Linked DNA regions of Callithrix jacchus. The protein of the gene in region 1 purifies or fractionates together with the protein of each later gene. This does not show direct contact. Links are inferred from orthologs where the notes say so. Each region holds a gene or a part of one and is shown in the gene's direction. Other genes may lie near its edges.

Region 1 (6,692 bases):
CTATTTTTTTTGCTCCGTTTTTCTTTCTTTTTAATGTTTTTGTAGAGATGGGATCTTGCTATGTTGCTCAGGCTGGTCTCGAACTCCTGGCCTCAAGGGATTCTCCCCCACCTTGGTCTCCCAAAGTACTGAGATTGTCAAAGGCTGATTTGTTACACAGCCATAGCAAGAGAAATTTAGGAGCTGTTACACATATACCTTTTCTTGGAAGTATTTGTTACACGTGAAACATTACATGTGTGATTATTAGATTCCTGTCTATCCTGAAAGACTGAAAGCTCTTAGCCAAATTTCTGTTCTTTTTTACTATTTATTCCTAACACTTAGCACAGTGCCTGGTAAACAACACATTCAATGCCAGTTTACTCCCAACTTTCCTGCTCCTTTTCACTGATAACAAGTGAATGCACTTGGTCATTAAGTGAATGTTCATTTATATCATAAATGCTGACTGAGTGGCTGAGTCAGGGATTTGCCTTAGAGATGGTCCTCAAAACAAACATGACCTACAAGGGACTGTGGGAGGACACAGAAGGGGACTGGGAAAGCTTTCTGAGGGAAGGTGATATTTGGGTTGGGTTTGGAAGGATGTGTAGGTGTTTTCGCGATAACAAAGAGGCACCACAGTACTTCTGGCAACGGAAATGACGAGGGCCAATGCTTTGGGCCAGGAAGCAGGCAGGTCAGTCAGGCAATGGTGTGAGGTTCTGCCCAGAAGCAGTTTGCTTGGGTGGAACATCCTGCAGGAAAAGGTTCCTAAGGACAGATTCTGACAGTCGGCAATGTAGGTGCTTGTCTCATTAGAGACAGGTCTCCCTATCTCTAATGAGATGAAATCTAAGTGAGAGGGTAGACCCCTTGCCTCCTTCAATTTCACCTCCTCCCTCCCTCCCTCCCTCCCTTCCAGATGGGAAGGAGGGTGAAGAAGGAAAAAAAAAATGAAATAAAATACCAAAGAGCTGGGGAAATGACTCCCTTTTTAGTTCCCAGCGTCTCTGCTATCTGTTAGCCTTGAAAGAGCTGCAAATGAATGTTATCCCTGCCGGCTGGAGCCCGGCACTGGTTCACGCCCCCACATCTCCACAAAACAGGTGCCCTCCTGGAAACACCTTTGCCAACAAATGGCTTGTTACTTTTGTCTTGTCTCTGTAAGCCCCCTCCCATGCTGGTCCCCACTCACGCTGCATATGAATTAGCAAATAAATGAAGCCAAAAGATTGTAAGGTCAGACATCCAGCAAATGGACAATGACATAGTTCCGCTTCAGCTTCCCCTTTAGCGGTGTAAGCCTATAAAAGGAGAGAGAAGCTGCAGTTTGGGGAGCTCAGTGAGTGAGGCTGTTGCCCCTCGAAACTCCCAGCTGAATAAAAAAGCCACTTCCTTCCTCAGTTTGGCGTTTGATAGGTTTGTTCCATGCCGTTCCTGCTTCATAAGCATCTACACTGCAGGCTGTCAGAATTGGTTTTTAGAAACCTTTTCCTGCAGAATTTTCGAGGTGGCTCACGCCTGTAATCCCAGCACTTTGGGAGGCCAAGGCAGATGGATTGCCTGAACTCAAGAGTTCAAGACCAGCCTGGGCAACACACACACACACACACACACACACACACACACACACACACACAAAGAAATAGGAAGACCTTGGAGGTTTGGAAGCAGTGGTGGAATGAACCGAGTTTTTTCTTTCTTTTTTTTGAGATAGAGTCTCTGTCACCAGGCTGGAGTGCAGTGCTGCAATCTTGGCCCACTGCAAACTCCACCTCCTGAGTTCAAGCGATTCTCCTGCCTTAGCTTCCTGAGTAGCTAGGGCTACAGGCGCGCGCCACCACACACGGTATTTTTGTATTTTTAGTAGAGTCGCAGTTTCACCATGTTGGCCAGGATGGTTTCAATCTTTTGACCTCGTGATCTGCCCACCTTGGCCTCCCAAAATGCTAGGATTATAGGCGTGAGCCACCGCACCTGGCCTGAGTTTTTTCTTTTCTGTTTTTTCTTTTTTTTTTTTTGAGGTGAGATGCTCTAAAACAAACAAAAAACACTGCTATGCTTCCCAGGCTGGAGTGTAGTGGCGAGTTCATAGCACGCCAAGCTAATTTATTCACTTTCAATTTTTTTTTAGTAGAGACGTGGATCTTGCTCTGCTGCCCAGGAGGTCTTGAATTCCTAACCTCAAGCATTTCTCCTGTCTTTATCTCCTAGATAAAGTGGCCTGAGCCACCACCCTCAGCCTGGAGTTCTTGAGAGTACCAGGGCTGAGAAAGTTCCAGGGTTAGGAGGCTCCTAAACTGGTCCAGCTGGGAAGTAATGGGACCAAGGACAGGGAAGTGAAAATGGAGGATTAGGACTAACTCAAAGGCCGTTTAGCAAAAATTCACCATGCAAGGCCCTGTATTAGGGCGCTGGGTGCTCATATTTCATTGTCCCATCAGCTCTATAAAGCAGGGGCCCACAGACCTTTTCCATAAAAGGCCAGATTGTAAATACATCAGGTTCTGCAGATCTGTAGGATCTTTAGCAACTAGCTACTCTATTGTGCAAAAGCAGGCTGAGATCCTAGGTAAACTGGCAGGCGTGTCTGTGTGCCAATAAAACTTTATTCAGGGACCTTCAAATGTGAATTTCACAAACTTCTTCACTGGTCATAGACTATTCTTCTCCTTTGGATTTTTCCCCCAGCTATGTAAACATGTAAAAATCATTCTGAGCTTTCGGGGCCAGACCAAGAAACCGGCGGGCCTTGGTTCGCCTACCGCCTGCTATATAAATCGTTAATTAGGTTTGAGAGCAATTTTAAGAAGATCCTCAGAGGAGACCCTCAAAGAACACCGCCCCTCTAACGTCATCAAACCCCGCCTCCAAAGGCGGAGGCTGCGCATGCGCGGGAGGCCCTCGGGCGGGGGCGGGGCGGGGTGCAGCTCCGACTTCGAACATGGCGCACGCTGGCGGCGGCGGCAGCAGTGGTGGCCCCGCGGGCCGGGGGCTGAGTGGCGCCCGCTGGGGACGCTCGGGCTCCGCGGGCCACGAGAAACTGCCGGTGCACGTGAGTGGCATCCCCGCCCTCCCTTGGGGACCTCATCTTCTGGACTCCGCGGGCAGGCGCCCCTCACCCAGGCCCCGCCCGGCCCTGGCCCCGGCCCCGCCTCAGACTCCCCTCTGCTCGGTCCCCGATCCCTCACTCCTCACCTTTCACCTTGGCCCTCCGAAGGTCCGGCCTGTTCCCTTCTCCTCCAGGGATCCCAGCCCCTCGTTCCCTCCTCCCACGGCCCCGGCCCACCGGGACTCTTCCCCGCTCTGCAGGTTGAAGACGCCCTCACCTATCTGGACCAGGTGAAGATCCGGTTTGGCAGCGACCCCGCCACCTACAACGGCTTCCTGGAGATCATGAAAGAGTTCAAAAGCCAGAGGTACCCGCGGGGCCCCTCTCCACCTCGGGGGACCCCCGTTGGCCGGAATCGGGCCTAGCGGGGTGGGACCTCCCCTCTCCAGGCTGCCCCCTTAGCCGGGTGACCTTGCGCGGGTTGTCGAATCTCTCAGAGCCTTAGCTCTTTCTCGTAACAAAAATGGAAATGGGTAGTACCCACTTTGTGGAGCTTCGTGGGGATTCCTGAAAGGAGGGCAGGGACCTGGAGGGAGCCAGGGAAGGCGAGGCCGTGCACACTCATAGAGTCGAATCCTGCCTTGATTTAATATGTTGATTGTTAAATAAGTTTTGTTCATGAAAGATTTGGTGGGACCCATTTTGATTTTTTTTTTCAAGTCTTGGTGATTGAAATTTTTGGCACCCTCTTCCTCTTTAATCTTGTCCTCAGCATGCTTCTCTGGGCTCACCGGAGTCCCAGGCCTGCTTGGAAGTGAGACGCATAAAATGCTTAGTAAGGGAGCTGGCATACAGAAAACGTTTAAAACACATGAGCTGATTTTGCAGGCCCAGAATCAAGGAGGATTACAGATAGATGGGAAACCCTGGGATCATGCACTTGTTTTTGTAGGAGGCTTAATGGGACTTGGAATGGGTAAGGGATCCACCTAAGTGGCAGAGGTGGCACTAGAACTCAGACCCTCTGACTCAGATGCATTCGGGTTACATCCCTACCATGCTGCTGCCCCCTTTGGTGGGGCTGGCCTGGTCTCCTTCCAGGAGCCCAGTGCTAAGGGCTGTGATGCAGCCCGGAGGGAGACCCCATCTCTCCCCTCCTATTTATCTTACACTTTTCCCATACTTGGCTGTACCGTTGGTGTTTATGCATTGCAGTCGTTTGCTCAGATGGAAACCTGTGTCATAGTCATCCCCATCTGATATGAAATGAGGGAATTTTTCACATTGCTTAGAGGACTTAGGCCTCCTGCCACTTCTTGGAGACCAGGACTTGCGGTTGGCTCTCCTGACATTTTCAGAACCCAGTACTCATTCGTGGAGTGTTTTGCGGGAGCTGAGCAATGTCAGTATTTTCTGGTTCTCACCAAAAGGGCACAGGGAGCTCAGGCCTAGCTGCTCAGGAAATAGATCATGGTGTACAGATGCTATCTCAGGGGCACCTTTTTTTGGAGACGGAGTCTCACTGTGTTGCCCAGGCTGGAGTACAGCGGCATAATCTTTGCTCACTGCAACCTCTCTCTCCTGGGTTCAAGTGATTCTTGTGTCTCAGTAGCTGGGATTGCAGGCACGCACCACCATGCCTCGCTAAGTTTTGTATTTTTAGTAGAGACAGGGTTTCGCCATGTTGGCGAGGCTGGTCTCAAACTCTTGACCTCAGGTGATCTGCCTGCCTTGGCCTCCCAAAGTGCTGGGATTACAGGTGTGAGCCACTGTGCCTGGTGGATCATATTAGCTTGCTTTGTTGTCTGTGGAGAAGGTTGTTATGTGGCAGTATCAAGGGAGTAGGGAACAGATTTCATTTTTTATTTGCTTCCCAAGACCCACTCTTGTTGTTTCTTCTAGTATCGATACTCCTGGAGTCATCAGACGTGTCTCTCAGCTCTTCCACGAGCACCCTGACCTCATTGTTGGATTCAATGCTTTTCTTCCCCTCGGATACAGAATAGACATTCCCAAGAACGGGAAGTTAAACATACAGTCGCCTCTAACATGCCAGGTATGCCGCTACAGTGATTCGGGTGTTCTCAGCCTTCACCGCGTATATCTTGCTACTCAGGTTGGGCCACGTGTCTCTCTTGTGTCATTGCTAGAAAGCCACTTAACATCCGTTCTTTTTCTAGACATGCTCATTGCTTCTAGCACAAATCAAAATAGATACGGAAACACCTACACAAGCAGCCTCTGCCTCCCAAATTGATCTGCTGGGAAGATTTAAATCAAGAGTGGATGTCAGGGAGGTATCCTCCTAATGCAGAATTTTGTGTGAAGTCTGAGATCTGGGCCTGAGGCTTTCCCAGCGAGTGTACCAGGCAGGCTTGCCCTTGTACTTGCTCATGTGGTCGTCTACCTCTGATCACTCTCAGAGCCACCTGTGAAATAAAGTGGTTGAGATGGTGTGAGAACAGCCAGTTTTATGTTTCATGGGATTGTCAATAGGATCATTAGCTCAGTTGGGACTCCTGACTTTGCTTTGGTTCCTTCTTTCTTGGGTGAGAGGTGCTGCCCTCTTATTTATTTATTTATTTTTTTGAGACAGAGTCTGGCTCTGTCATCCAGCCTGGAGTGCAGTGGTGCGATCTCAGCTCTGTGTAACCTGCACCTCCCAGATTCAATCAATTCTCCTATCTCAGCCTCCCGAGTAGCTGGGATTACAGCCTCCTGAGTAGCTGGGATTACAGGCCACCATGCTCGGCTAAGTTTTGTATTTTAAGGAGAGGCGTGATTTTGCTATGTTGGCCATGCCGGTCTTGATCTCCTGACCTCAAGTGATCTGCCCTCCTCTGCCTCCCAAAATGCTGGAATTACAGGCATGAGCCACTGCACCCAGCCTTTTTTTTTTTAAAGACAGGGTCTCACTTGTTGTCCAGGCTGGAGCGCAGTGGCCCTATCATAACTCACTGAAGTCTCTACCTCCTGGGCTCAAGCAGTCCTCCCATCTCAGCCTCCTAAGTAGCTAGGATTACAGGTGTGCATCACCACGACCAGCTAATTTATTTATTTGTAGTGAAAGAGTCTCACTTTGTTGCCCAGCCTGGTCTCAAACTCCTGGCCCCAAGCAGTCTGCCCACCTTGGCCTCTCACAGTGCTGAGATTACAGGAGAGAGCCACTGGGCCTGGCTCACTGCTCCTTCTATCTCTGATGTCTCTTTATCCTTTAGCTCACCAGCTCCTCTGAGAAAAAGAAAGCCTGTTTAAGATTCCCTTTTGTAAGATGACCGTTGTCATTTTTTTCCACGTCGGCACTATTGCCATTTAGGGCATAATTCTTTGCTGTTGGGGTCTTCCCAGTGCACTGTGGGATGTTTAGCAGCCAGCATCCATAGCCTGCATCCATCAGCCCTTCACTCAGTTCTAACAGCCAGAAACATCTCCAGACATTGCCAGGTGTCTCCCTGGGGGAAAAGTGCCCCTGTTGAGAACTGCTTGTATAAATGAACCAGCTCTCCCAACCTCCTCCAGTCCTCACCCCCAGAATTTTAGCAGGGAGTGTCAGAATCTACTGCTGGAAGCACTTGGTAGGTCTCTCCTCTGATGGAAGACATGTTAGAGTGCCCAGTTAGGGATCTGACACTCTGCAGTCAGTTGGAAAGAGAAC
Region 2 (6,591 bases), on another chromosome or scaffold:
CGAGAGTCTCAAAAAAAAAAAAAAAAAAAAGAATAATAAATTGCATGGAGGGATGTGACAAGACAAAGGAGCTTAGGCTAAGGCCGGTAAATTGTGGAAAAGTATGTGAGAACTGTATGTGAGAAACTAATGGAAAATAAGGGTTACAAAGTTTTGTAAGGTTTTGTTTGTAGATTTATCTCAGTGGCAGCTCTGCCTCTGGCAATAAGAATATTCTTCTCTTCCTGGTATAGAAAGGGCACCTTGCACAAGGGAACTTTTATGTTCTGCTTCAAACAGAAAGAGGGTGGTCAGAGAGCCTTCCCTGCATCTGTTGTTGCTCCATTGCCATCAGCTCAGAGGAATCAATATGCCAGAGTGGCATATTTTGGGATGGCAGGCCCTAAAGACCTTCAGCATTGTTCTAAAATGAGACAACACTCTTTACCTAGTCTCCTCAACCACTTTTACAGTTTGCTTTAATCCAAATAACAGTCCTGGAAACTTATTTTGTTTTTGTTTTTGTTTTTTTGAGACGGCGTTTCACTCTTGTTACCCAGGCTAGAGTGCAATGGTGCGATCTTGGCTCACCGCAACCTCCACCTCCTGGGTTCAGGCAATTCTCCTGCCTCAGCCTCCTGAGCAGCTGGGATTACAGTCACGCGCCACCATGCCCAGCTAATTTTTTGTATTTTTAGTAGAGTCGGGGTTTTACCATGTTGACCAGGATGGTCTCGATCTCTTGACCTCGTGATCCACCCGCCTCTTCCTCCCAAACTGCTGGGATTACAGGCTTAAGCCACCACTCCCAGCCTGTTTTTTTTTTTTTTAAAGACAGGGTTTCACCATATTGGTCAGGCTGGTCTCGAACCCCTGACCTCCAGTGATACACCCACCTCAGCCTCCCAAAGTGCTAGGATTACAGGCGTGAGGCACCGCGCCCGGCAGAAACTTATTTTTGTTAGGAAAACTGAAACTTAGAGGGAGGATGACTGAGCCACAACCCACACCCTAGGGGGCTGCTCCAAAGCCCTCCTCGAAAGTGGTGCCAAGGGCAGCAGCTATAATGACATCCAGTGCACACAGAAGTGCCTCTGTTGATCACCAATTAACAGTAAAATCGGAATAATATCTCATTCCAACGTTGTCAGAAGCACAAAATGTGGTTTTGTGACAAAATAGGCATTTAATGTTTCTCCTCACTGCTCCCCCCACCCCACAACCCAGTATATTCATCAAGATCTTTCCAAGGATACTAAGTCTAGGAAACCCAGGATCATGAAGAGAGGCTGAGAAGGAGACTGATTTCTCTGGCAAGACCTGTACTGACTAATGACATTAAGAAAGGCGATCTGGCTTCTCATCCTATGCTTGTCCCAGGCCAGCTATTTGTCAACTGCTGGGCGCTCAGAGCCAAAACTGTTTTCCAACAATGCTAAACCAATTATTCAATTTTCTTCACATTCTCCAATTGGAATATTCTTCAGAGTCTCACAGCACATACAACGATATTGCTTAATGGCTGAAGAATGTGTACCTGACATCTTAGGCTGTAAAATGTCTCAATATCAATTTCTAATACATAAATGTCAGTGGATGACATGTTCTGAACCTCTTGTTGATGTCCGTAAATGGCATGCTCTGAATTCACCTAAACAAAAGAATGGCGGGGCGGGGGGGGGGGGGGGGGAGCGGGGGGCATAGGAGGATGTAGATGAGTAGGATTGTCAGTTATTTATTTATTTATTTTGGAAACTCACTCTGTCACCCAGGCTGGAGTGCGATGGCGCGATCTTGGCTCACTGCAACCTCTACCTTCCGTCTCAAGCTCTTCTTCCACCTCAGCTCCAGTATAGCTGGGATTACAGAAGCCCGCCACTGCGCCTGGCTAATTTTTGTATTTTTAATAGACACGGGATTTCACCATGTTGGGCAGGTTGATCTCGAAGTCCTGAGTTCAAGTAATCGGCCCGCCTCAGCCTCCCAAATTACTGGGATTGCAGGGAGGAGCCACCACGCCAGGCCTGGATTGCCAGATTTAGCACATAAAAATACAGGACTCCCAGTTAAACGTGTCTGAGATAAACCATTATTGCATAGGATACCCGTGCTAAAAAAAAAAGATTATCCGTCGTTTACCTGAAAGCCACATTTAATTGGGTGTTCCGTATTTTACCCAGCAAACTCTAGGCCTGAGACCAAAAAGTTTGAGAACCGCGCCCCTAAGCGACAGAAAGTGGAACTGCAGCAAGTTCCCAGTAATTCCGGGTGCTGCACTTCCGGTCAGGCAGTCGGGCTGTGGGGCCCTGGGGCCAGCTCATCGCCGGAAGTCTCCGTGGGCCGCTGCCCGGCGTTCCTCGCCGGTCTGGTCCGTCCTGCTTCCCAGTGCCTCAGGCCTCCAGGGGCTGATGCTGGGCGCTGAGCCGGCACAGCTGGCGGAACCCGCTTCCCGCCTCCAGAGGGCAGCGGCCGCGGCCTAGTCCCTTCACGTGCAGCTCGGTGCCGTCGGCCTCACAGCTCTTCCTATCGCCGGGAGTGGCTGGCCGACCAGTGGGCGGCCGGGCCAGCCTCCGCCATTCCCGTGTCTCTGCGCCCGCGGGGGCCGCCCGAGCCGGCCACCATGCCGCTGGGCCTGAAGCCCACCTGCAGCGTCTGCAAGACCACGTCGTCCTCCATGTGGAAGAAGGGCGCGCAGGGGGAGATCCTCTGCCATCACTGCACGGGCCGGGGCGGCGCGGGCGGCGGGGCTACCGGCTCGGGGGCTGCCGGAGGGACTGGGGGCAGCAGCGGCGGCGGCGGCTTCGGCGCGGCGACCTTTGCCAGCACCTCCGCCGCCCCTCCGCAGAGCAACGGGGGCGGGGGCGGCAAGCAGGTGAGCTCCTCCGGCCTCTCCCGCCGGCGGAGGCCGAACAGGCGCTAGGCGGGCCGGGACCGGGCTGGCGGGGGAGCGGGCGGGTACGGGCTTCCCGGATTGCGATGCTCCTGCCGGGCTGGGACGCCTCCTCTCCACCTCCTATTGAGATTTTTGGTTTGGCGCATTCCGAAGCACCTGCTATTGTAAGAAATTTAAAGCATAAGGAAGCAAGAAAATGTAAAGCCCTTCTGAAAATCTCAGTATATGCACGTCTACACAGTCGTAAACAGGGTCATGCCACAGATGCAGGACCTCATTCCTTGTTAATAAAGGTTTTGTCATATCAGGTTATGAAGTAAAGATTATTGTCATTATTGTAAATGGCAGCTTAAGTATTCCATTGTAGAGGATGCTATAACCTAACACTTTCTCTGGCCTTAGGGAGTAAAGTTAAGTGTTTTTCTCCTGTAGGCACAACAAATCAATAGGTCTTGTCTTGGCCTAGACTGACTCCTCCTCCTGCCTCGTGCCCTATTATGAGCAGCTCACACCTTTGGGAGGCTCTGTAGAGGCATGTCCAGCGAGCTCCAAGATTCGGCGTGCTGGACTTGTAGTTTTAGCCCAGTTACTGTAATTACCCCGTTTGAAAAGCAAAGGCGCACTCTTAATCGCTAAATGCTCTTATAAGGTGCATACTCCAGGATCCTTGTAAGATGGTTGTACCGGGACTGCAACCGTTCTACATTTTTTACTTTCTCTTTTTGTTCTTTAATTTGTATAACAGAGTAAGCAGGAAATTCACAGGAGGTCTGCTCGGCTCAGAAACACTAAATACAAATCTGCTCCGGCTGCTGAAAAGAAAGTTTCCACCAAAGGAAAAGGGAGAAGACACATATTTAAATTGAAAAATGTAAGATGTTTGTTGACAGTGCCTTTTACTGTAATGATGTTGTGTATATTTTGCCACTGCCTTCATTTCTCCCCACTGAACTTGGACTCTGCCCTTGGAAGCCCTTCTTCAGTATTTTGAGGGTAGTCCAGACTCCCCAAAAGGGAATGAGCTCTGTTGCAGGAGGCTCACTTTTTATAAAGTTAATAATAAATACTCTTTCCTTTTTTTTAGCTTTTACTTTTTCCCCTGGAAAATATAAAATACGGGTTTAAAAGAAATATTGCCGGGCGCGGTGGCTCACGCCTGTAATCCCAGCACTTTGGGAGGCTGAGGCGGGCGGAGCATGAGGTCAGGAAATTGATACCATCCTGGCTAACACGGTGAAACTCTGTTTCGACTAAAAATACAAAAAATTAGCCAGGCATGGTGGTGCGTGCCTGTAGTCCCAGCTACTCAGGAGGCTGAGGCAGGAGATTCGCTTGAGCCCGGGAGGCGGAGCTTGCAGTGAGCCAGGATAGCACCATGGCACTCCAGCCTGGGCGACGGAGCGAGACTCCTTCTCAAAATAATAAATACCAACCTTGAGCCCATTCTTTTGGGTTCTCTATGCAAAGGAAGAGGAGAGATTGTGGTTCTTAATATGGCCAGGTACACTAAGAAAACTTTTTTTTCCATTCTTTAAAAATTTAAGTAAACATTAATACTAGAACTCATCATTTGCATATTTATTTGTTATAAAAGCCCCAGAAAATGTATCTTCTGATGATGATGGATTTGATGAATATGAGTCAAAAATTTTGTTTAGCCTTATCTCCTCTTCTGCTCTAAGAAAAGAGATTGTTGAAAGACCTGTGCTGGAAATAGTTGAAAGCATATTTTTATTGAAATTAAATTCTCACTTTTTATAAAGAAGGAATAATGGTCAGACACAGTGGACAGTGCATTATGGACTATTTTTTTAAGTCTCAGTATGATATTTTCTTTCAGAACAGGAGTGTTTCACTTACCAGTTAAGACATTTCTGAAGTTGGGCATATTTCTAAAACACAAAGGAACCCTGCAGGAGACTTATGCAAATGACAGTATTTTCTTTTTTAATTTAATTAATTTATTTTTTAAATTTTACTTTAAGTTCTGGGATACATGTGCAGAAAGTGCAGATTTGTTACATAGTTTACATGTACCCTGGTGGTTTGCTGCACCTATCAGCCCATCATCTAGCGTTAAGCCTTGTATGCATTAGATTTTTGTTCTAATGCTCTCCCTCCCCTTACCTCCCACCCCCGACAAAACCCAGTATGTGATATTTTCCCCTCCAAAGTATTTTCTTATTCAGAGTAGTTGCTTCAAATTTATTTAAGATTTTTATAACTTAGTTAAGTGAGGCATTTGTTGATTACATAAAACATGTTATTTATATTTGTATCACATATACACATTTTTTTCCTTTTAAGTATGGTATACCATGTTCGCAGTAATTATTATTATTTCTCTGCAACCACTTTCTTCGATGGAACCAAGCAAGACAGATCTGGAGAGGTCTAGTTTCTATGTTGTGGCATAAAAATATGTATTGTACCTTTGGTAGAGATTTCAAAAGTGGTTGGATGGTGGCAAATTACTAAGAATTCTTGAAGTTTCTAAAGCCATAGTTCCAGCTTGCTAGAAAATTGATGTTGAGTATTATGGCTAGTTCCATAGTTGAATTGGAAAATGTCTTCAAGGAGACACTTTTTCACTTTGTATTCACCTGTACATTCTTTATTACTTGCATTCTGTCATGCTCAGGCTATTAGAACAGGTATATTTTTATAACTGGAATGTTTATGTGTAGTGGAGCTCTGAGAAGACTTTGCATTAGATCTCAGCAGCATAATCAGAAGCTTGTCCTTTGTCTTAGAAATTGGAGTGGAAATACTGAGACTGCTTTACTACAACATTCAGAAAAATATTTATCTTTTTATTGTAGTTCTTGTCACCAAACAATTACATTTTAGTATTTCTCAAATTACAGAACTCTCATAGAGCTGGGAAAATGCCTGTACATACATACTATGAATGTGCTGATTTTTTTTTTGTATTTTCATAGCCCATCAAAGCTCCTGAGTCAGTTTCCACCATAATCACCGCAGAATCAATCTTCTACAAGGTAATATTTTGTAGTTACTGAAGGAAGAGTTGGGCCTAGTGGGTAATGTGCCACTAAAATATTGGATTAGTTTAAAGGTCTCTGCTACTCTATATTTGTATAAGGTGTGATGATGATACATTTTATTACCTTCTTAGCTGTTTTCCACCATAAGCGGCTATAATTTTTATTTATTTTTTATTTTTTGAGATGGAGTTTTGCTCTTGTTGCCTATGCTGGAGTGCAATGGTATGGTCTTGGCTCACCGCAACCTCTGCCTGCCAAGTTCAAGCCTTTCTCCTGCCTCAGCCACTGGAGTAGCTGGGATTACAGGCATGCACCACCACGTCTGGCTAATATTTTGTATTTTTTTATAGAGACGAGGTTTCTCCATGTTGATTACACTGGTCTTGAACTTCTGACCTCAGGTGATCTGCCCACCTTAGCCTCCCAAATTGTTGGGATTACAGGCGTGAGCCACCGCGCCTGGCAAGTGGCTGTTACTAAAACATCTCATCTAGAACTGAAGTGGGAGGAGAAGAAGCCTACTGAAATATGATGTGAGGATCTTAAGTATTTTTTTAGTGTAGATTATAGGAATTGTTCTTAAAATGCTGATTGTATAGTGTGAAACCATGGAAGAGTGAGCCATTAGGGTGATGGCATTGAAGAATGAGGACAGAGACAGGATTGGTACCAGTTGTGAAGCAGGAGCGGTGAGAAGCAAACCTTGAACAC
Region 3 (5,740 bases), on another chromosome or scaffold:
GCAAATCAAATAGGGTATCATTCTTACCAAAAAAATTAAAACTAAAACCAATGCAGGGACAGTGTAGTGAAATTTATATATTTATAGGTTACAAATTATATGGAATACTACTCAACTTTGTAAAGAAAAAGATTTGTATGTACTGATATGGAATGATCTCTTAAAATATATTGTTAAATTGGGGCCGGGCACAGTGGCTCACCCCTGTAATCCCAGCACTTTGGGAGGCCAAGGTGAGCAGATCACCTGAGGTCAGGAATTTGAGACCAGCCTGGCCAACATAGTGAAAACCCCGTCTCTACTAAAAATGTAAAAATTAGCTGGGCATGGTAGCAGGCACTGTAATCCCAGCTACTTAGGAGGCTGAGGCAGGAGAATCGCTTAAACCCAGGAGGTGGAGGTTGCGATGAACTGAGATGGTGCCACTGCACTCCAGACTGGACAAGAGTCAGACTCCATCCCCAAAAAAACATTATAAAAAAATTTATATAAACATTATTAAATTAAAAAAGAAGACACTGAACTATGCTTCCGCTTGTGTTTTTAAAGGTGTGCTGTTATCTACATATTTTAAATTTGCATATCATCTCTCTAGTTTCTAGAGATAAAATTCCTGTAGAACAGGGGTTGCAAAAATTTTCTGTAAAGAGATAATAAATATGTTAGGCTTTGTGGGCCATATGGTCTCTGTAGAAACTTCTCATCTCTGCCATGGTAAGTGTGAAATCTCTCATAGGCAGGATGTAAACAAATGGGCATGGCTATGGCTGTGTTCTAACAGAATTTTCTTTCCAAAGTCAAGTAAGCCAGATTTGCCCCTGGGGCAGTTATTTGTCAGCCTTTCTTCTAGAGTTTTAAAAAATGTGAAGAAACTGGTAATAGTGGGGAGGGGAATTTGATTGATTAGGAGGTTCCTAGATGAGAAGGAAATACACTTTTCTACCTTATTACCCCTGTGCTGAATGAATTTTTAAAATCTGTGTATGTACGGCTGGGCGCAGTGGCTCACACCTGTAATATCAGCACTTTGGAAGCCTGAGGCAGGTGGATCACGAGGTCAGGAGATCGAGACCATCCTGGCCAACAGGGTAAAACCCCCATCTATACTAAAAATACAAAAATTAGCTGGGCATGGTGGCACATGCCTGTAATCCCAGCTACTTGGGAGGCTGAGGCAAGAGAATTGTTTGAACCAGGGAGTCCGGAGGTTGCAGTGAGCCGAGATTACACCATTGCACTCCAGCCTGGCAACAGAAGGAGACTCCATCTAAAAGAAAAAAAAAATCTGTACATATATTTATTTTAAAATATTATTTTATGAACATTAATTTATAACAATGAGAGACGCTAGGTGAGGTGGCTCACGCCTTTAATCCCAGCACTTTGGGAGGCCAAAGCCGGCAGATCATGAGGTCAGGAGTTTAGACCAGCCTGGCCAATGTAGTGAAACCCTGTCTCTACTAAAAAAATACAAAAAATTAGCCGGGTGTGGTGGTGGGCACCTTTAATCCCAGCTACCCAGGAGGCTGAGGCAGGAGAATCACTTGAGATTGCGGTGAGCCAAGATCGCACTACTGCACTTCAGCCCAGGCGACAGTTCAAGACTCCGTCTCAAAAAAAAATTATTTTATGAAAACTAATTTATAACAGTGAGAGAGGCTAGGTGTGGTGGCTCACTCCTGTAATCCCAGCACTTGGGAGGCCCAGGTGGGCAGATCACCTGAGGTCAGGAATTTGAGACCAGTCTGGCCAACATGGCAAAACCCTGTCTCTACTAAAAATATGAAATTAGCTGGGCTTGGTGGTGTACACCTGTAGTCCCAGCTACTTGGGAGGCTGAGCCAGGAGAATCACTTGAACCCAGGAGGCGGAGGTTGCAGTGAGCTGAGATCGTGTCACTGCAGTCTAGCCAGGGTGACAGAGCAAGACTCCATGTGAAAAAAACAAAACAAACAAAAAGGAACAGTGAGAAAATTTCTCTGAGGAAAATAACTAATGTGTTATTTGCTTTGTAAACGTAGTAGAGGAGAATGCAACAGTTGAGCTATGTATTGTTTTGATCCAACTTGAAGAAGCAATTAAGCCTCTGATTCTCGTCACCATTTATATTACAAGAAAACATCAAGTACAGAAAGATGGAGGGATTAGGAGGGGAAAACAGATTTTTGGTTGGATTGCAGATTTTTCCTGTTTCGATATTTGTTTATAAAAAAAAGTATATTCTCTATTTTTTCTGTATCTTGTAGACCAGGCACAGTTTTTTCGCCTCTTTGATCCACTCAGGAGCCTTCCCTGGTCTGTCCCTTTCATTACTTCTGTAGTTGGGCACTGTCTAGCTACCTGAGCTATACACTAGCTTTTCCTCTCTTTACATCGTGGTACTGTGAGAACTGACCACTGTTGTAAGCTAAATGATTTTGGAGAATACAACAGAATTTTAGTTCAGAGGACTAGTATTTTCTGTTGTTAGACATACATTTGTATTAAGCTCTTGGTTTGGTCTCCCTTTTCCTTAGGTGCTGCTACATCCTCATCCTCTTCTTCACCTTCATCCAGTTCCATAACAGCTGCTGTTATGTTAACTTTAGCTGAACCATCAATGTCCAGCGCATCACAAAATGGAATGTCAGTTGAGTGCAGGTGACAGCAGGACTTGCTAAAGCACTTTGCACTTAATGGCTGTTGAGGGCCACTTTTTTTTTTATACTGCACAGTGGCACAAAAAAATATCAGACAAGCACTATTTTATATTTAAAAATTGTTTCTTGACAAGCTGACTTGGCACTTAAGTGCACTTTTTTATGAAGAAAAAGTACAATGAACTGCTTTTCCTCAAGCAATAATTGTTTCCAACTTGTCTGGGAATTGTGTGTCTGGTAACTTGAAGGCCTTCCACTGTGGCAAATGGAGGCTTTTCACTGCCTGTAGAGACAATACAGTAAGCATAGTTAAGGGGTGGGCCAGAACATGTTAAGATAACTTACTGTATATGTATTCCCTTGTATTTTGTTAAAGCTGGAACATTTGATATTTTTCCATTTATTTATGAAAAAATATGAACCTATTTTCATTTGTACAAGGTAATTGTTTTTTAAAGCAAGTCACCTTAGGGTGGCTTTAATTGTATAAGTCAAGCACATGTAATAAATTCAAAACCTGCAGTTAACAGGATATTAGACATCAGTCCTGGTAACCAAATATTAAAGATTCTCTTTAAAAAAGACTGAACATGTTTACAGGTTTGAATTAGGCTAAAAGGTCTTGCAGTGGCTTTTCATGCCCCTTCAAATTGGAATGGAACTACTGTACTTTGCCATTTTTCTATAAATCAGTATTTTTTTTTAATTTTGATATAATTGTGTGAAAAAAGAAAATGGCTAATAAACTGTATTAAATCTTAATGTATAAAGATTGTACTTAGCCAGTTCAAAGTGTATATTTATTCATAATGAATTATAACAGTTATATTTTTGTGTTTTCTTGTAAATGTTTCTTTTCCCTTAAATACAGATAATTCATTTGTATTGCTTATTTTATTATGAGCTACAACAAAAGGACTTCAGGAACAAGTAATGTATTAGTATGGTTCAAGATTGTTGATATGAACTGTCTCAAAAGGATGGTGGTTATTTTAAATATAAATAGCTAATGGAAGTGGTCGGCCTATAAAATTAAATGCCTTGTATAAAATCCAAAATGAATGCAAAATTGTTTTCACTTGTATTGACTTTATGTTGTATGATTCCAATCTCTGTTCTGTTTGGCACTTGTATTTAATTCTTCACCTTTGTAAGACATTTGTATATTGCGGATGTGTTCATTCAAGCTATTTAATACCTGGCACTGTTAATACACAGTACTTTATTGTACAGACTGTTTTACTGTTTTAATTGTAGTTCTGTGTACTTCTTTTGGATGGGGCTGGCATGTTTTATTTGTTTTCTGGCAATACGACATGTGAGAATTTCAAAGCGTTTTGTTGTAGATGCTAACGTGTCAGAATCCTTTACATTCAACTTTTCTAAGAAAAGCATTTCAGTCTTGTAGTGTGTGCTTACAGTAACTAATTTTGTTGAAAATGGTTTCAAGTTATTCAAATTTGTACAGGACTGTAAAGATTTGTTGACAGCAAAATGTTGAAGAAAAAGCTTATAGAATAAAAGCTATAAAGTATATATTAGGATCTGCAAACAATGAAGAATTATGTAATATATTGTACAAATGTAAGCAAAGGCTCTGAAATAAAATGCCATAGTTTGTGAATCCTTGATTTTTGTTTCTAAAAGATTTAGTAATTTTAGTTCATTTCTATATGTGATGGAACTTGACTGGAACATACAAATCCAGCATGTATTATCACAGGGGATTAATTGATATACAAAAAAGGGAGGCTTCTACCTATACAAATTAAAAGTCCATTAACTAGATAAGGAAAGTATTAGGCATTCTTTTTTTTTTTTTTTTTTTTTGAGACAGAGTCTTGTTCTGTTGCCAGGCGCCAGGCTGGAGTGTGGTGGCACAATCTCAGCTCATTGCAACTTTCACCTCCTGGGTTCAAGCAATTCTCCTGCCTCAGCCTCCCAAGTAGCTGGGACTACAGGCATGCGCCACCACGCCCAACTAATTTTTGTATTTTTAGTAGAGACGGGGTTTCACCATGATGGTCAGGATGGTCTCGATCTCTTGACCTTGTGATGTGCCCGCCTCGGCTTCCCAAAGTGTTGGGATTATAGGCTTGAGCCACTGCGCCAGGCCCCTCTTTTTCCTTTTTTGACATAGAGTCTCACCCAGGCTAGAGTGCAGTGCTGCAATCTTGGCTCACTGCAACATCTGTCTCCCAGGTTCAAGCAATTCTCCTGCCTCAGCCTTCCGAGTAGCTGGGATTATAGGTGTCTTCCACCACACCCGGCTGATTTTTGTATTTTTAACGGAGACAGAGCTTCACCATACAGGCTGGTCTTGAACTCCTGACCTCAGGTGATCCACCTGTCTCGGCCTCCCAAAGTGTTGGGATTACAGGCATGAGCCACCATGCCTGGCCTAGGCATTCTTTTATCTTTGCATACACTATTTTGCTTGAGTCTGAATTTAAATATTCTTCTTATCACTTGGAGAACTGTCCAGATTAGAAAATAAAGTTGTTTTTTTTTTTAATTTAACACTTGAAACCATTACCAGCAGCTTTTTAAAATTTTAATTTAGTTGGACCCTCCTGGGTCTTTTATACTTCAGCGTATTCTGTTGGACATTGGAATCATCGGCATTGTTAAAAGTATATTCAGTATTCAGACCCCACTCCCTGACAGGTAGTACCTGGATGTTGATCTTTAATTTTTAAAGGTCTCCAGTGATACTAACATGCATCTGGGTTGAGAAACACTGCTTTGCCACAAACTTTTAAAAATCCATAATCTAGTTTTTTGGCCTCATGTACTGACTTTACACCAAGGAAAAAAACCTTCCTTTAATACAAAGAGAAAGGAAATAAACTTTGTTAAGGCCTAGAAAGCTCAAATTTTTTTTTTTTTTGCGACAGAGTTTCGCTCGTTACCCAGGCTGGAGTGCAATGGCGCGATCTCGGCTCACCGTAACCTCCGCCTCCTGGGTTCAGGCAATTCTCCTGCCTCAGCCTCCTGAGTAGCTGGGATTACTGGCACGTGCCACCATGCCCAGCTAATTTTTTTGTATTTTTAGTAGAGACAGGGTTTCACCATGTTGACCAGGATGGTCTTGATCTCTT
Region 4 (5,997 bases), on another chromosome or scaffold:
TGTTTTCCAAAGTAGTTGAATCATTTACTTTCCCACCAGTAATACAGATGCTTCCAGTTTTTCTACATCTTGGCCAACACTTGGTATTGTCAGTTTTTTAAAATTGTAGTCATTCTGGTTAGTTGTATAGTGATATCTTATTGTGGTTTTAATTTGCATTTCTCAAATGACTAGTGATGTCTTTTTTCTTTTTTCTTTTGCTTGAAATGGAGTCTGCTCTGTTGCTCAGGCTGGAGTGCAAGTGGCAAGATCTCTGCTCACTGCAACCTCCACCTCCTCGATTCAAGCACTTCTCCTGCCTCAGCCCCCTGAGTACTGCTGGGATTACAGACGTGTGTCTCCATGCCTGACTAATTTTTGTATTTTTAGTAGAGATGGGATATCACCATCATTTTGGTCAGGCTGGTCTTGAACTCCTGACCTTGTGATCTGCCCGCCTCTATCTCACAAAGTGCTGGGATTACAGGCATGAGCCACTGCACCTGGCTGCATGTTTTCATATTCATATTATCCATTTGTATATCTTGGTGAAGTGTCTGTTCAGATTTTTTTTTCTATTATACTTTCCTCCAGAACAGATCTTTTTTTTTTTTAAATTATATATGTATATTTGATTGCATTTTAGGTTCTGGGGTACATGTGAAGAGCATGCAGGATTGTTGCATAGGTACATACATGGCAATGTGGTTTGCTGCCTCCATCCCCATCGCGTATATCTGGCATTTCTCCCCATGTTATCCCTCCCCAACTCCTTACCCTCCCACTGTCCTTCCTCTAGTGCCCCCTACAGACCTCAGTGTGTGATGCTCTTCTCCCTGTGTCCATCTGTTCTCATTGTTCAACACTCGCCTATGAGTGAGAACATGCGGTGTTTGATTTTCTGTTCTTGTTTAAGTTTGCTGAGAATGATAGTTTCCAGGTTCATCCATGTCCCTACAAAGGACACGAAGTCATTGTTTTTTATGGCTGCATAGTATTCCATGGTGTATATGTGCCACATTTTCCTTGTCCAGTCTATCATTGATGGGCATTTGGTTTGGTTCCAAGTCTTTGCTATTGTAAACAGTGCTGCAATGAACATACGTTTGCATATGTCATAATAGAATGATTTATAATCCTTTGGATATATACCCAGTAATGGGATTGCTGGGTCAAATGAAATTTCTATTTCTAGGTCCTTGAGGTATTGTCACACTGTCTTCCACAATGGTTGAACTAATTTACACTCCCACCAACAGTATAAAAGCCTTTCGATTTCTCCACATCCTCTCCAGCATCTGTTGTCTCCTGATTTTTTGAACGATTGCCATTCTGATTGGCGTGAGATGGTATCTCAACATAGTTTTGATTTGCATTTCCTTGATGACCAGTGATGAGCATTTTTTCATATGTTTTTTGGCCTCATATATGTCTTCTTTTGAAAAGTATCTGTTCATATCCTTTGCCCACTTTTGAATGGATTTGTTTTTTTCTTGTAAATCTGTTTTAGTTCTTTGTAGATTTTGGATGTAAGTCCTTTGTCAGATGGGTAGATTGCAAAACTTTTTTCCCATTCTGTTGGTTGCTGCTTCACTTTAATGATTGTTTCTTTTGCTGTGCAGAAGCTTTGGAGTTTAATTAGATCCCCTTTGTCTATTTTGGCTTTTGTTGCCAATGCTTCTTGTGTTTTAGTCATGAAGTCCTTGCCTACGCCTATGTCCTGAATAGTTTTGCCTAGGTTTTCTTATAGAGTTTTTATAGTGTTAGGTCTTATGTTTAAGTCTTTAATCCATCTAGAGTTAATTTTAGTGTAAGGTGTCAGGAAGGGGTCCAGTTTCTGCTTTGTGCACATGGCTAGCCAGTTTTGCCAACACCATTTATTAAACAGGGAATTCTTTCCCCATTGCTTCTTTTTGTCAGGTTTGTCAAAGATCAGATGGTTGTAAATGTGTGGTGTTGCCTCCGAGGCCTCTGTTCTGTTCCATTGGTCTATATCTCTGTTTTGGTACCAGTACCATGCTGTTTTGATTACTGTAGCCTTGTAGTATAGTTTGAAGGCAGGCAGCATGATGCCTCCAGCTTTGTTCTTTTTGCTTAGAATTGACTTGGCTATGTGGGCTCTCTTTTGGTTCCATATGAAGTTTAAGGTGGTTTTTTCCAGGCCTGTGAAGAGGGTCATTGGTAGCTTGATGGAGATAGCATTGAATCTATAAATTACTTTGGGCAGTATGGCCGTTTTCATGATATTGATTCTTCCTAACCATAAACATGGAATGTTTTTCCATTTGTTTATGTTCTCTCTTATTTCCTTGAGCAGTGGTTTGTAGTTCTCCTTGAAGAGGTCCTTTACATCCTTTGTTAGTTGTATTCCTAGGTATTTTGTTCTCTTTGTAGCAATTGTGAATGGGAGTTTGTTCCTGATCAGATTTTCTTTTTTAATTGTATTGTTTGTCTTCTTATACTTGTAAGTTTGTTATATAGTTTGTCTACAAGTTGTTTATCAGGTAAATGATTTGTAGAGCTTTTCTCCTATTCTGTGGTTTATCTTTTCATTTTTGTAATAGTGACTTTTTGAAGAACCATTTATTTATTTATTTTTTCCTTTTATGGATTGTACTTTTGGTGTCATATTTAAGAAATCTTTTCCAAAGTCACAAAGATTTTCTTCTTTGCTTTAATATAGAAATTTCATAGTTTCAGCTTTCATATTTTGATCAGTGATGCAATTTGAGGCTTTTTTTGGGTGTGTGTAGTGTGAGGTAAAGATGTAAGTTTATTTTTTAGTGGGGAAGGGAATATATGAATATTGAGTTGTACCAGCACCATTTGTTTAAAAGGCTTTTTCCCACTGATTTAACTTACCACCTTTGTTAGAAATCAGTTGACCATAGAAGTGTGGGTTTATTTTTAGGCTCTGTTTCGTTGCATTGATTATGTCTACGCTAACACTAGTACTACATTGTCTTGAGTACTACAGCTTTATGCTAAATTTTGATATTTCATAGCGTAAGTTTTTGTTGTTCTTTTCCAAAATATCTAAACAACTGACATTTGCACATAAATTTTAGGATCAGCTTTCAATTTCAATAACAACAGAAAGCTTGCCAGGATTTTGATAGGGATAGCTGCAGGTCAGTTTGAGAAATAATTGCAGTCTTGTTTTAGGAATTTTAGGGATCTGGTAATTTATTATTTTTCCACTGATTCTGAAGCATGATTTCTTATCAGTGAACCTGCTCTCTTTCTGTTCTCTGATCTTTTAGGGTGTACAGATGCCTAATTTAGATCTTAAAGACAAAGTGGAGCCTGAGGTTCTCAGCACTGATACCCACACTTCCCCAGAGCCGGGCACAAGAGTGAACATTCTGCCGAAGAGAACAAGACGTGTTAAGTCTCAGGTATCGATGTCAAGTGATCCTCCTGCCTCAGTCTCCTGGGTAGCTAGGACTTGAGGTGTGTGCCACCTTGCCCAGCTAATTTTTAATTTATATTTTTTTTGGTAGAGGTGGGGTCACTGTGTTGCCCAGGCTGGGAGAAGCTTTCCCATTGATTGATTGATTCAATGTCCCACTCGTCTGTCACCCAAGATGGACTGCAGCAGTGTGATCTTGCCTCACTGCCTCAGCCTCTCAAACTGAAGTGATCCTCCAACCTCAGCCTCCTGAGTAACTGGGGCTACAGGTGCACACCACTGTGTTTGGCTAATTTTTGTACTTTTTGTAGAGATGGGACCTCCCTATGTTGCCCAGCTGGTCTATAACTCCTGAGCTCAAATGATCCTGCCTTGGCCTCCCAAAGTGTTGGGATTACAGTTGTGAGCCACTGTGCCTGGCAATTTCCTGTTTATGACAGTCTTTCCGGGGGGATTCCAGTACAATTTTTAATATCTCACAGGCTAGAACTGGATCACATTCCTACCACTTTGTTGGTCATCACCAACAAAGAAAAATGAGGCTAGCATGATTGACTTAGGACAGTTGTAGTTCACGCCCTGAGATGCCCTCTAATCAGATACAGGTGCCCAGTAGCAAGTTAGAAGTGGGGATTTCTCTTGTGTGATAACCAGCAGTGTCTGTCTTTAGACAGCTTGACAACTATACTTTTATGAGTCATAGATGAATTTTATTTTGTGGAAAACAATCTGAGTGTTGCACAGTGTTTTGGTGACTGTTTTCGACTGTGGTAATGAGGCAGGGAGTGGATTTACAGAAAATAAATCCAATAATTTGTTCTTTTGTTTTGAAGATGATCCTGAAACTTTTCTTGGGTAGCAAAAATAAATGCCTGAATTAGCACAATGATGTTAATGTGAATTTTGCTTATTTTTTAGTCAGAATCTGGAGATGTGAATAGAAACACAGAGCTGAAGAAACTTCAGATTTTTGGGGCTGGGCCCAAGGTTGTGGGCCTGGCAATGGGAACAAAAGATAAAGAAGGTAAAATTTGTTATTTGGTCATGAAAAGAGATAAGGTTCAATATGGCTGTAAAAAGATTCATATGATACTTGAATTGCCGTCTGTGCTGGGAAATTCTTAAGAATTGTAAAGTTGCAGTGTGGTTTCTAGGCAAATCACATTTTAAATGCCAGATATCTTAAATTTAAGATGTGAAGAGCAATATTATGTTGAATTTTTATGATTTTGGAAGAGATAATTTTTCTCCTTTATGTGAAGTATATGATACAGAAATGTATTACAGTTTCTAAAGGCTGATTTATGAGAGAATGGTAGAATTAATGGTTCTTACCTAGTGATCTAAAGCTTTTAACTCTTAGTATCAACATATACTGGGGGATACTTAGAATTTTAAAATTCTAACCATAATTTTGATTATTGAAATAATTGTCCTTGATACATTATGACTGTTCATTTGAATAAACTGTTTTCTTCAGTAAGTCTAGTACTCGCAGCTTTACATGTTGGAAAGCTTTTTGTGGGTAGAACTGCTCATGCAGAGATCAAGTTCCACTATTCTATGTATGTCAATTTTAAAACTGTTTAACAAAGATTAGGCTGGATATGTTTTGACTATATAAGAACGTAATGAAATGCTATAGTCACAAATATTAATTACCATGTACTTACATGTGTAGTTAAGTCATACAATTCAGATTGTGGACTGAACTCTAGAGGATTAAATAATATTGTTCCATCTCTCTCAAAACATCCCATGTAATAAGACTTACTGAATACATTATAACAATATTTCCTTTTTAAGAATTAAATACTTTGTTATTTTTGTAATTACAGTACTGGTTGGCAACAGTGTTAGAAATTAGTCCTTGAATAATTTGGGAGTCCTCCAAGTAATACATACAAGTTGTATGTAGAATGTACTGCATACAAATATAGCATTAATGGGTAAGCTCTCTGGAGCTTATGTGACTGGATTAGAATCGTAAATCTGCCTGGCTGTGTGATTTTGAGCAAGTTACAAACTTCACTGTACTTCAGGTTCTTCATCTTCAGTGAGAGATAATAAATAGTATATCTACCTCTAGATATACTATTAGAAATATATACTAATACTAGTTACACAATTTTAACTAAGTAATTTTAAATAGTGTCTTGTTCATAGTAAGCTCTCAACATTAGGTTTTACTATTATTGTATAACTTTTTATTTAAAGATGAGGTCACCCGAAGACGAAAAGTTACCAACAGGTCAGACGCATTCAACATGCAAATGAGACAACGGAAAGGCACTCTCTCTGTTAACTTTGTAAGTGTTTTGGGGTCTGTCAGGAGGGAAAGCATCTATTTTTATTATGGTTTTGTAATTTTTATCCTGGTATATCTTGGTATGTGTTTAGTTAGTTCATTTGGTTAGAAGACTTGATGGCAAATCTATGAAGTCGCAGCTTTTGTTTATGTTATTAACCTTGCTTTGTCCTATATATGTAGGCTGCTTCCTGTAAGTCATATACCTTGTGTGTAACCAAGTGAGAGCATGAAAATGAATCTGTATAAATAGTTGAGTTCTATTACAGTCTCAGTATTCATTCGCTATCAAAGAGTA
Region 5 (5,997 bases), on another chromosome or scaffold:
AGCTACTGATGGCTGCCTGTCTTCTCTAATGTTTTCAACACTGCCCTGAAGCACAAGTTCCTCTATAAAACAAATTCAGTCAAATTGTAGTTCCCTGGGCAGAATAGTTTCTGATACCAGTGTTCCATATTTGTTCTGCCCTCAGAAAGGCTCCCACAGCTCTTTTATACTTTGTTCTTTCCTTCAAACCAGCCTGCACATAGCTATATCTTCATTAGTTCCGCAAATCTCTCCCCAGTTCCCTTCACCATAGCCTCCACTGTTCTTGGGAGCACTGTTAGGTCTGAACTTCTTCACACGTTTGCAAATGGACTCAGTTGCTTCAGGAAGAAATTAAAAGGTATCTGTTTTACAGCCCACTTCTTCTGGCAAAATGTTTGAGCCAGGGCCTTAGAGATGGGGGAGGCCCTGGCTTGGCATGTGGCAAGCTTTTCTCTGAGTGACAGCCCTGCTTTAGGAGGTAGCACTTAGTGGAGGGGAAGGAGGGGAGTAAGCAGCCTGGGGTCCTCTTGGCTTGCCTCCCCCCGCAAATGAAACCACTACCTCAAGTGAAGAAGTTCTTATGGCCAGGTACAGTAGCTCATGCCTGTAGTCCCAATAGTCTGCAAGGCCAAGGCAGGCAAATTGCTTGAGCCAGGAGTTCAAGACCAACCTGTGCACATAGGAAGACCCCATCTCTACAAAAAATACAAACGTGAGCCCAGCATGGTGGTGCACACCTGTAGTCTCAGCTACCTGAGAGGCTGAAGTGGGAGAATTGCTTGAGCCTGGGAGGCAGAGGTCGTGGTGAGCCAAGATTGTATCACTGCTCATCAGCCTGGGTGACAGAGCCAGACACTATCTCAAAAAAAAAAAAACCTAAATTCTTGTTAAAATAATGGCATTTAGGCTGCTTGAACACAAACCATTTACCATTTGAAACAGTGAAATATACTTGTTTTTATTTTTTATGGTTACAGAGGAGAAGAAAGCTATGCTGCAGGAAATAGCTAATCAGAAAGGAGTATCCTGTCGTGCTCAAGGCTGGAAAGTTCACCTCTGTGCCGCCCAGTTACTACAGCTGGTAAGTGGAGTTCTAGCAGTTGTTCATCATGCTGAAGAGAGGAGAAGACACTGGAGATAGCCGAGTTCATGAACTTTTTAAAAGTAACTCTGAAGCATTTCCAGCTAACATGGGTAATGGTAGAATTTTTACATGTGCTATGTAATATAATCACTGTGTCAGTTACATGTGATTATAACTGAAATATATCTGAGTTCTGGTACCCAGATCCAAAATATATGGAACAACTGTGGTATAAGATGTAAGTTTAAGATTCAGTGGTATGTGCTGTGTTGTGACATCTGAAATAGGGGGACCCTCAAATGGCCTAACCATGAGGCCCTCCTCCCCACTCTGCTCCCTCAGATGAAGTCTCCTAGGCAAATAATCCTTACACCACAGGGACCAGGCACACAATTCCTGCTCCTCACTGAGTAGTAGGCTCCAGTTCCCTGCCAGTTTCCAGTATTCCAATAGTACTCAGATAAGCCAGTCACACACATCATCCTTCAGAGACCAGAGCATACCTCTCCCTCTCTCCTGTTCTTTTCTGTTGTTGTTGTCGTCGTCCAGGCTGGAGTGCAGAGGCATGATCATCTTACTACAGCCATGATCGACCTGCTGGGCTTAAATAATCCTCTCACCTCAGCCTCCCAAACAGCTGGAACTACAGATGTGAGCCATGGCACCCAGCTGATTTTTTTTTTTTTTTTTTTTTTGAGACGGAGTTTCCCTCTTGTTACCCAGGCTGGAGTGCAATGGCGCAATCTCGGCTCACCGCAACCTCCACCTCCTGGGTTCAGGCAATTCTCCTGCCTCAGCCTCCTAAGTAGCTGGGATTACAGGCATGCGCCACCATGCCTAGCTAATTTTTTGTATTTTTAGTAGAGACAGGGTTTCACAGTGGTGACCAGGATGGTCTCGATCTGTTGACCTCTGATCCACCCACCTCGGCCTCCCAAAGTGCTGGGATTACAGGTGTGTGCCACCGCGCCCGGCCCCAGCTGATTTTTAAAAATTTTTTATAGAGACGGGGTCTCACTATGTTGCCCAGGCTGTGCTGTGTCTTCATTTTTAACAAGTTTTAAAAGTTAAATTTTTTTTTAATAGCAAAAACAAGTCCAGGTTCAGTGGCTCAGGCATGTGATCCCAGTACTTAGGGAGGTTGAGGCAAGAGGATTGCTTGATCCCAGAAGTTCAAGGCCAGCCTGGGCAACATAGTGGGACCCTGTCTCTACCAAAAAAAATTTTTTTTAGTTAGCCAGGTGTAGTCCCAGCTACCTGGAAGGCTGAGGTAGGAGGATCTCTTGAGCCCAAAAGACAGGGGCTGCCCTTAGCCATGATCGTGCCACTGCACTCCATCCTGGATGACAGAATAAGACACTGTCTCAAAAATAAAAAAGGAAGAAAAAGTTTATAAAATAAAGATATAAAGAAAGAAAATATTTTTCATAACCATCCAACAGTGTCCAAAGTTGTTCAACAATGTGCCTTTTAAGCTAAGTTTTATTGCAAAAGAGTCAAAAAGTTTAAAACAATTTAAAAGTTTATAAAGTAAAAAATGTAGAGTATGCTAAAGTTAATTTGTTATTGAAGAAGAATATTTTTAATAAATTTAGTGAAGCCTAAGACACAGTGTTTATAAAGCCTACAGTATTTGTACAGTGAGGTCTTGGATCTTCACATTCACGCACTCAACCACTGACTCACCCAGAGCAACTTAACAGTGTTGGTAAGCTCCATTTGTAATAAGTGCTCTGTATAGGAGTACCATTCTTGATCTGTCAGGCCATATTTTTACTGTATCTTTTCTATATTTGGATATATCTAGATACTCAAATACTTAACATAAATACATCAATTTCCCACACTATTTATTGCAGTAATGTGGTGTACATGTTTGTAACTGGGAGCAGTGGGCTCTATTCATATAGCCTAGGTATGTGGTATGATGTTCACACAAAAACTAAATTGCCTTAAGGCACATTTCTCAGAATATATCTCTGTCATGAAGTAGTGCATGACTATATTTGTGACTCATAAACTGTTAATCTTATCTGTCCAGTGTTGGATCTTATATGTTTGGCCATTTCTATAATCCTAGGGCAAGAATCCCTCCTTCGGCAACTGGGTGAAGAGGAGGCAACAACCTCATAAAGTTTTTCCTTCTTCGCCTGTAATCCCAGTACTTTGGGAGGCCGAGGTGGGCAGATCACCCGAGGTCAGGAATTTGACACCAGCCTGACCAACATGGAGAAACCCCTTCTCTACTAAAAATCAGAATTAGCCGGGCGTGGTGGCTTGCACCTGTAATCCCAGCTACACGGGAGGCTGAGGCAGGAGAATCACTTGAACCAGTGAGGCAGAGGTTGCAGTGAGCTAAGATCTTACCATAGCACTGCACCCTGGGCAAAAAAAGTAAAACTCCATCTCAAAAAAAGTTTTTCCTTCTTTTCAGTAGCAGTGATCTGAAGAACATTGTTCTCAGTATCTAAAAAATGTAGTGCCTTGGCTGTTTTTGACTTAGCAAAATCATTTCTATGACACTTGGAGACTTGTTTTTCAGAAGAATTGTGGATTCAAGGCAGTATTCAAAAGTTATCTTTGAAGGTAGACTCTCAACTATGGCAAATTATAATGTAAATCTTTGTTCATCAGTTTTCTTTACTGTTTTTATTTTATTTATTTCAAACAGAGATTTGCTTTTGTTGCCAAGGCTGGAGTGCAATGATGCGATCTCAGCTCACTACAACCTCCACCTCCTGGGTTCAAGCAAACCTGCCTCAGCCTCCCAAGTAGCTGGGATTACAGGCATGCGCCATCACACCCAGCTAGTTTTTTATATTTTTAGTAGAGATGGGGTTTTACCATTTTGGTCAGGTTGGTCTCGAACTCCTGACCTCAAGTGATCCACCTGCCTTGGCCTCCCAAAGTGCTGGGATTACAGGTGTGAGCCACTGTGCCCAGCCCCTTTACTGTTTTTAAACCTTAGTATCTTAGTCCTTAGGAGAAAGGACGTTGTCACCCAAACAGCTCTAAACAGTTTACATAAGTGATTCAAGGTGGGTTCATTTGCCTGGGGTTGACATAGAAAAATATCTCTGAGGTCATGATATCCTCCGTTTTGTGTGTTGCAGACGAATCTTGAACATGATGTCTATGAAAGACTTACCAACCTACAGGAAGGGATTATCCCAAAGAAAAAAGCAGCAACTGATGATGATCTCCACCGAATAAATGAACTGATACAGGTTTGAATTAGCCCCTTCCTTCTGATCATCCACTTTATGAAGTTGCTTTCTATAAAGCCCTACTTCTTCCATTTCCCCCTGTGTCTCTCATATCATCAGTAAAAACATGTGCTTCAGCCTGCACTATTGAGAAACAAGAAGACATTTTCTCTCTGTGGAAGCCTCAACATAGCCTCTGCCCAAAGGCAAGCAGTTTTTTAAAAGCTGTACTATCCTCATGGTCACTGATTAATGATGTAATGTCTTCTGTTTCAGGGAAATATGCAGAGATGTAAACTTGTGATGGATCAAATCAGTGAAGCCAGAGACTCCATGCTTAAGGTTTTAGATCATAAAGACCGCGTCCTGAAGCTTCTTAACAAGAATGGGACTGTCAAAAAAGTGTCAAAATTGAAGCGAAAGGAAAAAGCCTAGACCCAGAAGAATCGGGAGATTGGAAGCAGAATTTATGAAGAATGATGGTGGGGGTGGGGGGAGGGTTTTGGTTATTTCCAAAGTGGAACATTGAAACAAAGGAAGTGTTCCTTCATTCATATGTGAAAGGAGAGGGACCCATTGCACCCAGTGGCATGAAAGGATCAGAGCTGACTGGACACAGTGAGCCACCTTCTTGCGTTTGGGTCCACCCCTGTTAACTCTGCTCTATGTCCTAAGTGACTTCGGATGCGTCAGTGTCCACCAGTTGGAAGCAGTGACAAGGATGGCTGGCTGGTGTTTTTCAGCCGTCCGGTTTATAGACTGTATTTATATAGTGGATTCCTGCAGGCCCCATACCGAGCCTGGACTGAAAGCCTCCACTCGGACCATCTGTTATCTCTCTACACTGAAAATGAAACCTCTTCCACCCACCCTATTCAGTTCTTCTGCCTGACCTTCAAATGCCCATGTTGGCCTTTTACAGCAGTGCCACGGCACCAAGCAAGCTGCCACATCTCACACTCTAAAGGGTTTGAACTATTAGTTCTTGTCATTTTTTAAAAGAACCATTCCCGTGTGAAATTGTTATATCGTCTGTCTTGCGTGTGTCAGAATGGGGTTTTTGTGGAGGTTCAGAGCAGGCAACACCATAAGTTGCTCTCAGATCCTTGTTCTGAAGTACAATCTTGATTATCTGTACTTCTGTAGCTGGTGTGATGCTGTTAATTGTATGTACCACACATCTCCAGACGTTAATAAAGGACTCAGAGGTTTTTGTACATGCGCAGTTTGCATCTTCTTGTAAAGTGAGTCAGTGCCACACTGACCTTCACTGAAACGTTTACTGTGCTTTGGTTTCTCACATATTGTTGGGAGCCTACTTCATTCGTTGAAGTTTTGCTGTTCACATAGAGTTCCACTCACTTATCAGGGCAGTTTGAATATGCTGCAGTGGTAAAATCTGTTGGATTTTGGCTACCTTAAATATGAGCCTATATTGCGGCCCTGTGCAGATATGTAATTGGAAATTGCTTCAATTATAAGACTGTTAAGGCTGCAGTACTGGAGGCGGAGCTCTTGGGTGGCTGGATCCTGTCCATAGGTTGTTCTTCCTCTGAACTAACCTGAGTAGAAAGGTAGCTCAGATTGGCTTCCTCTGGGCACAAGACCAGCCATCTCTGGCCTCCATGTGGCAGACCAGGAAAGATTTTTCTCAAAGGCTGCTGCCTCTGCGGACAAGACATGACCACCCTCCTTCTTTAGGACATGTGCTTTCAGCTACCAGAT

Evidence for each region.
Region 2: the proteins of SIN3B (region 1) and GATAD1 purify together in Homo sapiens (affinity purification with mass spectrometry; 5 studies listed by BioGRID and IntAct, with this or other methods). This does not show direct contact. The link is inferred for Callithrix jacchus from reciprocal best matches to the Homo sapiens genes SIN3B and GATAD1.
Region 3: the proteins of SIN3B (region 1) and ARID4B purify together in Homo sapiens (affinity purification with mass spectrometry; 3 studies listed by BioGRID and IntAct, with this or other methods). This does not show direct contact. The link is inferred for Callithrix jacchus from reciprocal best matches to the Homo sapiens genes SIN3B and ARID4B.
Region 4: the proteins of SIN3B (region 1) and KDM5A purify together in Homo sapiens (affinity purification with mass spectrometry; 4 studies listed by BioGRID and IntAct, with this or other methods). This does not show direct contact. The link is inferred for Callithrix jacchus from reciprocal best matches to the Homo sapiens genes SIN3B and KDM5A.
Region 5: the proteins of SIN3B (region 1) and SAP130 purify together in Homo sapiens (affinity purification with mass spectrometry; 3 studies listed by BioGRID and IntAct, with this or other methods). This does not show direct contact. The link is inferred for Callithrix jacchus from reciprocal best matches to the Homo sapiens genes SIN3B and SAP130.

Annotation. Positions count from the first base shown.
Region 1 is NC_133523.1:15,436,283-15,442,974, forward strand, and holds the start of SIN3B (paired amphipathic helix protein Sin3b), read left to right. Parts: upstream 1-2,906; 5' UTR 2,907-2,929; coding exon 2,930-3,040; intron 3,041-3,297; coding exon 3,298-3,404; intron 3,405-4,939; coding exon 4,940-5,093; intron 5,094-6,692.
Region 2 is NC_133512.1:57,172,847-57,179,437, reverse strand, and holds the start of GATAD1 (GATA zinc finger domain-containing protein 1), read left to right. Parts: upstream 1-2,314; 5' UTR 2,315-2,599; coding exon 2,600-2,851; exon of another isoform or gene 2,852-2,987; intron 2,988-3,617; coding exon 3,618-3,743; intron 3,744-5,814; coding exon 5,815-5,874; intron 5,875-6,591. UniProt on the Homo sapiens protein: Component of some chromatin complex recruited to chromatin sites methylated 'Lys-4' of histone H3 (H3K4me), with a preference for trimethylated form (H3K4me3).
Region 3 is NC_133520.1:50,065,689-50,071,428, forward strand, and holds the end of ARID4B (AT-rich interactive domain-containing protein 4B), read left to right. Parts: intron 1-2,516; coding exon 2,517-2,644; 3' UTR 2,645-4,263; downstream 4,264-5,740. UniProt on the Homo sapiens protein: Acts as a transcriptional repressor. May function in the assembly and/or enzymatic activity of the Sin3A corepressor complex or in mediating interactions between the complex and other regulatory complexes.
Region 4 is NC_133510.1:13,544,496-13,550,492, reverse strand, and holds part of KDM5A (lysine-specific demethylase 5A), read left to right. Parts: intron 1-3,242; coding exon 3,243-3,377; intron 3,378-4,309; coding exon 4,310-4,415; intron 4,416-5,608; coding exon 5,609-5,700; intron 5,701-5,997. UniProt on the Homo sapiens protein: Histone demethylase that specifically demethylates 'Lys-4' of histone H3, thereby playing a central role in histone code. Does not demethylate histone H3 'Lys-9', H3 'Lys-27', H3 'Lys-36', H3 'Lys-79' or H4 'Lys-20'.
Region 5 is NC_133507.1:36,456,638-36,462,634, forward strand, and holds the end of SAP130 (histone deacetylase complex subunit SAP130), read left to right. Parts: intron 1-959; coding exon 960-1,063; intron 1,064-3,146; coding exon 3,147-3,245; intron 3,246-4,179; coding exon 4,180-4,293; intron 4,294-4,548; coding exon 4,549-4,707; 3' UTR 4,708-5,489; downstream 5,490-5,997. UniProt on the Homo sapiens protein: Acts as a transcriptional repressor. May function in the assembly and/or enzymatic activity of the mSin3A corepressor complex or in mediating interactions between the complex and other regulatory complexes.